Rattus norvegicus: one gene and its partner. The main gene of each other region encodes a partner of the protein of the gene in region 2 in a complex. Links are inferred from orthologs where the notes say so. Each region holds a gene or a part of one and is shown on either strand. Other genes may lie near its edges.

Evidence for each region.
Region 1: Dnajb13 (region 2) and Dydc1 share a complex: the UniProt entries of both Homo sapiens proteins name them as parts of the axonemal radial spoke complex. The link is inferred for Rattus norvegicus from reciprocal best matches to the Homo sapiens genes DNAJB13 and DYDC1.

What each region holds. Positions count from the first base shown.
Region 1 is NC_086034.1:16,973,723-16,978,020, forward strand, and holds the start of Dydc1 (DPY30 domain-containing protein 1), read left to right. Parts: upstream 1-1,309; 5' UTR 1,310-1,556; intron 1,557-2,057; exon of another isoform or gene 2,058-2,312; intron 2,313-4,298. UniProt on the Homo sapiens protein: Functions as part of axonemal radial spoke complexes that play an important part in the motility of sperm and cilia. Plays a crucial role during acrosome biogenesis.
Region 2 is NC_086019.1:164,262,582-164,265,341, forward strand, and holds part of Dnajb13 (dnaJ homolog subfamily B member 13), read right to left. Parts: exon of another isoform or gene 2,533-2,760; coding exon 2,419-2,532; exon of another isoform or gene 1,986-2,418; intron 733-1,985; coding exon 619-732; intron 124-618; coding exon 47-123; intron 1-46. UniProt on the Homo sapiens protein: Functions as part of axonemal radial spoke complexes that play an important part in the motility of sperm and cilia.

The DNA of each region.
Region 1 (4,298 bases), on a different chromosome or scaffold from region 2:
ATTAAGGGATCGTAGATCCTTAAGGAAAAGTTTGGCTCCAGGGTTGGGGCAAAAAAAAATATAAGCAGCCAGAGACAGTTTATTATGCCAGGAAGTAAGACTCTGACAATGTAGACACAGGAGCCATCTTGAAGGCTTATTCCAGTGCTACATTTTTGCTTCCACAGGAACCCATAATCTCAAACCCGGAACCTGTGGATGTTATGTTGTATGATAAAGGGGGCTTTGGAATTGTGATTAAGGATCTTAAATAAGGAGTGTGTGTTATACAAGCGGGACCTCTCAGTTACTTTTCTATTGGTGGTGAAGAGATACCACGATCAAGACGGTTTACAAAAGAAAGCACTTAACTTGAAGCTTTGCAGTTTTAGAGGGGGAATCACAGCCGCCATGGGATTGGGAGCATGGGCACAAGCAGGCACGGTGCTGGAACAGTTCTCAAAAGCTTGTCTTCACGTTGGAGGTAGGGGCAGACAGAGCGAGCCTGCTGTGGACTTTTGAAACCTCAAAGTCCACCCCCAGTGACACACCTCCTCCAACAAGACATCTCCGAAGCCTTTCAAAAGAGTTGCAGCAACTGTCAACCAAGCATTCAAATATCTGAGCCTCTCGGGCTCATTCTCACGGAAAGCGCCACATAGGCACAGCTGTAATTGCCAGAGGTGTCAGTAAGGCCAGACGTGGAGGGTGGCAGAGTGACAAAACACATGGAAGAAGGAGCATGAAAGTCAAGATCATGTCCAGAGACAGCTTCTAGAAGTCAGAAGACAGGGAAACGGAACATACAGAAGGGTTTGTGTGGATTAAGTTTTCCACATCCCTGCTGCTTCATGTGATCGGACGAGGAGTTGTTGTTTGGTGAAGTGCAACTTCCGATATCTTAGATTGAATATATGTGTGGCTCGACGAAATCCCCAGTGCAACCCCCAGTCACTGATCCTCTCGCTATTCTCGTAGAATCCCAGCACAGAATCACCAATGCACTGCCAGAGCGTCTCTCCATGCCTGGATTACTGAGTGACTGCTGCACTGCTTAAACGCGACAAGCCCTCTGAGGATACCACCCCTGGCACTTGTCCCACATTCAGTACCGAGTAAAGATGTCTGAGTGCTCTGATGTTGGGGGCGGGTGGGCAAAGGAAGGGCTCAGACTCTGTTGATCCATCAGCGTCCCTTCTTGCATTTATGCAAGCCTCTACCACCGAGCAATGCCAGGCCCATTGTTTGCTTTTTGTTGCTCTGGTAAACACTATGACCCGGGGGGAGGGGGGAAGAATTTATTTGGTTTACAGATTACACTCAGTCTATCATCAAGGAAAGCCAAGCCAGCAACGCAATGGGAGAGTGAGCGTGAAACAGTAACCATGAAAGGAAGGCTTTCGTTCTCTGGCTGATTCGGCTACCTTTTCTACACAGCCCAAGCCTGCCTTCTCAGGGACAAGCACTCCCCATAGTGGACATATGCCCATAATTAGCAACCAAGAAAATGCCTCCCAGACACGCCCACGAGTCAATCTGATGGAGACAATTCTTCATTTGAGATTTCCTGCCCCCAGGTATATCTAGGTTTGTGTCACATTGACAAGAACTAACCACGCACACCAGGGGAGAGTGCAAGCTAGAGCCTGGTGGAGGGTGTCTTTGGGCTAGCTGAAGTTGCTTGTGTGTGAGTTCACTCTGATATTTTGGTTGTGAGCCTAGCCTTTAACGGCTGAGCCATCTCTCCAGCCCGTGAGTTCACTCTGAAAGGTCTTAAAATTACCAAGCCAACAAGCCTGCAGCCTTGAAAGTGTCTCTCCTGACTTCAAAGATCTGCTGCTCCACAAGGCTCCTATCTAAGAAGAGTCCCCGTGTCTGCTGGGTTCCTCCCGCTGTTTCTCCACAGTGTTTCCTTTCCCATAAATCTGGTTCTCCCATCTGCGTGCCCCCTCCCCTACAGTGCGCGTTCCTGGCTCTATCGAGAGTGCACCCCCTCCCCTAGAGTGCGAATTCTCCTTTCATTTCCCTTTGCCTCCACTACTTGGGCTGCAATGGAACCTTAGCTCTACACTAGAGCGTGCTCTCGTTGCCAGGCAACGGGACGCGACTCACTGGCGTGTGGCCAGAACGTGCATCGGATGCGTGCACCAAGGAGGCTGGAGCGTTTTCCTTCGAACCGGCCCTCTAGTGTCTCTGCAGAAGCAGTTCTAAAATTTTCACCTTGAGAGTCAAGTAGGTCTCAACTCAGAATCCGAGGGAGGGTTAGTTCTCCTGTAAGAGCCTTTGGAGCGCAAGGACTCCTTCTCCTTCCTCCTCTCTTCCGGCTCCTCCTCTTTCTCTTCTTCCTCCCCCCCTCCTTCTCCCGCCCTCTAGCCACCCAATAGGAAAACTAATCTAAGTGTCTAGGTTGGTGGCTGCCTGATTGAAATTTACTTTTAGATAAGCAGGTTACTTGCTAGCACAAATATATATAAGACAATTATTCATTGTTTCTCAGAAATTAGGTCTGCGGTGGTTTTGAGTGCCGAATCCAGCACTCTTCCCAGGTCCTGGCAGAGAACCTCCTCCATTGTCTCAGAGCAGCTGCTCCAGATGTTTCTGTGGGAGCGGACTTTCTTCTGTGAAGCTGGATGAGCACTGGTGTTTGCTGGGAAATAACACTTCTTAGGACAGAAGAGATGGCTAGTAGTTTCCTAACCTGACCAGGAAATGTATGTTGCAGAGATGACAGAGGGACCTCATGAAAGCCCCACGGAGAACGCTAAGCAGCTGCCAGAGCCCCAGATCCTATGTTTTTGGAGCAGCAGGAAGAGTGTATTCCATGTTGTATATAAATGACACTGATACGTCCATGTGGTGATCTTATCTATAGAGAATTTCCCACAGAAGAAGCACCGTGAAGACACAGCCCAGTCAGTTGCCGTGTTTGTCTCTCTGTGATTAGGACACCAGTGCCAATCTAGTTGGAAATCAGCGTATTTGTGCCAGCTCCAGTCGTTCTTAGGGCTACACTATACATACACGTGTATATTCCTTTGGAAGCAGGAGCAATTTCTACATCTCCCTTTTCCTCCTGCATTGTGCCTCACTAGGAAACCACTGCCTATTTTAGAGAGCATTTCCAGCCCCTTATATTGTGGCTGGATTCCATGGTGTTGTATGTAATTGATCCCCTGCCAGGACATTCAGACAGCACTTTCAGTCTGACTATAATAATAACGTGTGAATAACCACGTTCACATGTCACTCCAGTCTTGAGTCTGCACCTTTGAGACAGGAGTCGAGAACTGCAATGGTGAACATATTCTGGTCTTTTAATCTCATTGGGTCACAATTCTGGGCTTGGGTGGGATCATTTGTTTGGTCTGTTATCCTATATAACTATAAATAGAAATAGTCACCCTAAAAAATACTCACGTATCTGCCTTCATACCTGAAAAGACTGGGGAACAGCTGAGAGTAGGCACACGTTTGATTACTTGCCACCATGGAGAGACAGCAGGGCACACACATGCGCATGCATGCACACACATACTAACACTCTCTTATACACTTTGTAGGCAGCATGACAAGGGCTGTATGAGCTACTTGAAGTAGGAGAAACTCCCTTGTACTGCTTGACAAAACTCCAGAGCCAGACATGATCTGTGGCTCGAAGGAGGAGGTATGTTCCAAGAGTAGAGAGGAAAGGATTATTGAGATGGGAAAGCACAGTGTGATAGCTAGAATATGGCAGGATATTCAGTGGGGTAAGAGCCCAGGATATATGATGACAGGGACGTGCTTGAGGTGAGTCTTAAGGGAAGCTGTGGTGGTTTGAATATGCTTGGTCCAGGGAGTGGCACTGTTAGGAGGTGTGGCCTTGTTGGAAGAAGTGCGTCACTCTGAAAGTGGGCTTTGAGAGCTTCTTCCTAGCTGCCTGAGGAGGATGCCAATCTTCTCCTGGAGGCCTTCACATTAAGATGTAGAATTCTCAGCTTCTCTCCTGCAATGCCTGCCTGGATACTGCCATGGTCCTGCTTTATGGATAATGAACTGAAACTCTGAAAATGCAAGCCAACCCCAATTAAGTGTTGTCCTTATAATAGTGGCCTTGGTCACGGGCACTGACTAACACAGAAGCTGATACCAGAGACTGAGGATCGCTGTGATACCATGGTTTTGGCTGGAGGAATGTGGCTTTTGGGACTTTGGATTTGGAAAGCCATGGAATGCTTCAAGTGAGGCTTAATGGTTCGTCCTAGTAGGAATATAGAAGATATTGGTGATTTGAACTCTGGAGATCTTTCTTATGCTTTGGTGAAGAATGTTGCTGCTCT
Region 2 (2,760 bases):
GTCCATCTTCTCTGTGGCTACTTGGGGACTAGGCAGACAGACTCACTGGACAATGTCGTTGATGGGGATGTTGAGCAGCCGGTCATCAAGGGTCTTCACCTCCACAGTGCAGCAGGTAAGGGCCTGAGGGTGGGGGAGGTTAGAGTGAGAGAGAGGTCTACAGGGCATCACTGCAGCCATTCTATTTAGAAGGTGTCTGGGAGTCTACCTGGGTTCCAACCCTGAGCTAGGCAGTTCCGTGATGACAGAGTGTAAGGCTTTTGAGAGGCAGGGGTGACAGGCTCTGAATGCTGCCACACAGTAGGGGCAGCAGCTCTAGGGTGAGGTGGGCAGGTGTCCTCACCCTGAGACCTGAAGTGCAAAGAATGAGTCAACGGGGGCACCTTGAGGAGAACCACTTGGACATGTTGAGAGCCTGGGGACAGCAGCAGGACCAGGACAGGGTGGGAAGATGAGATGGGGAGGGGCTGTCCCACAGATCCAACTAATGCCAGGGAGAGAGATATAGGGCCCTGCCTGTGACTGCAGAAGTTGGTTAGGGGAGAAGAGATGGAACTGAGCTGCTGCAGGTGGGGTTCACTCTGGGCCCCCATGGCCTTCTGCGCTGTACCCACTCACCTTGCCCAAAGGAATGGGGTACACAAAGAAGAGGTTGTCCTGCTCCCTGCGGAAGCGAGGGTGCAGCTTCTCCTTTACGATGAAGATAATATCGGCCGGGATAATGTTGGGGCCCTAGGCGGGGAAAGCCAAGGGGTAACGGGTTTATTGCTTATATGATTTGGCCACATTTCTGTCTCTACTTGTCTCCAGGTCCTCACTGTGCAAGGAGAACTAGGCCCAGTTTTCTAGAGGGAGCATTCAGTGTGGCCTAGGGCCACCCTCTAGAGAAGCTTCCCTAGATCAAAATCACTTCCCACTCCCAAAGCACTTCTCTACTGAGCATGCTCAAAGTAAGTGTTCTCAGTAGTGTGGGGCAGGGACTTCCGCAAGTGATAGCTAGACCCTGAGCTGGGGTCAAACAGCTGCTCTGCCTAACAGAAACTCAGCAGTGATCTCTTCGCTTCAGTGAGCTGCCTCAACTCTGACCACTGAAGACAGAGAGCAAGAGCAGCTGCTGTTCCCAGGACAAGAAATAGTCAGATGGTCAGAAATTGCCTTATAGTCAAAAATTGTAAGCTCAAAGCCCAGATGAAGGGAGGGCCAGAGGTTAGGCTCTGAGGAGGCCCTGGGCCATGCCAAGGTTGGGAAAAGCTGGCCAGAGTGGAGGATGTTGGCACTGAATATCTATTTGCTTGCCTGTCTTCTCGCTTACTTATGACAGGGTCTCACTCTGTAGCCAGACTAGCCTGGAATTCGCTATGTCACCCAGGTTGAACTCAAACTCCTAAGGCTCAAGTGATCCCCTGCCTCAGCCTCCTGAATTGCTGTGGCTCGCAATGGCCCAGGTTGAAGCATGATTGTTGGAAGCAGGTGTTTTCCACGTAAGAAAGGGACAAGTGGGGGCAAGAGAATCCATCTCTCTCAGCTCTGAGCTGGCCATTACTGTTTCTTGTCAACATGTAAGCACTTGGGATCCTTGTACAATAACAATGTTTCCACAGGTATTTTAGCTTAATATTGTTATTAATTAAATGCTTCTGAACATCTTTCTCCTTGCACCAAGGAAAGACACTGGAAGGGAAGCTGAACTGAGTTCTCCCGCCAGGGGTGTGTGTGTGTGTGTGTGTGTGTGTGTGTGTGTGTGTGTGTGTGTGTGTCCCACTGTGTGTGTGTTCCTCTGTCTCTGTCTCTCTCTGTCTCTGTCTCTCTGTGTATGTGTGTTCCTCTGTGTGTGTTACACTGTGTGTGTGTTCCTCTCTGTCTGTGTGTATGTGTGTATATGTGCACACGCGTGTTTCCTCTGTGTGAGCACAGGCCTATATTCATGTATGTGCTGGCGGAGGCGACAAATTGACACTTGCTCTCCATCTTATTTTTTGAGACAGGATCTCTCCTGACCCAAGAGCACATCAATTCAGACTGGCTGTTCAGTAAACCCCAAGATCCTCTGTCTCTGCCTCTCCAGCACTGGTATCACAGGGGCTCTGCCAATGGCGCTGGGGACCAAGTCCAGGTCTCCATCCCTGGGTGGTATTGGGTCATCTCCCCAGGCCCTTCTTTCAGCCTTTTGTGTTCATATCTTGAGCAAGTTTCTTCCATCTCGGACCTCAGTTTCCCACTGTGGAAAATGGTAGTGATCTCCAAGCTGAGCTCACAGAAGCATTGGGATGCTCTGTCCCTGGGAAGGGGCTCTGGGGACCACCTAACTCTAGACCAAAACTTGTAGGAACAGGAAAAAAATGTGTTCCTTCCCTCTCGGTCCCCCCACTACCTGAACCTGGTGACTGACTGCCCCGAGCCAGCTTCTCTCCCTCTCACCTGGTCCCCTTCCTTCTCAAAGGTGATGCGCGTGCCCTGCCTCCACCCAGGCCTCACATCGATGGTCAGGATCTTGTCCTTGATGGTAGAGGAATACCCATCTTCATTTAGCACCTACGGTGACAGGGGTAGGGACGGGGAATTGTCTCAGGGGAAAGGCCCTGTAGGGTGTACTCTGTACCCATAGTAATGGGGGACTAGAGTCATTCCCACTCCCATCCCACTGTCACTAGATTTAAGAGCTTGTGACTCTCCAAGGCAAGGCATGTCCTCAAGTTGATGAAGCTGTGGCCTGAGACACCAGTCACCACAAGTGCTGGCCACCAACAAAAACATAGTGAA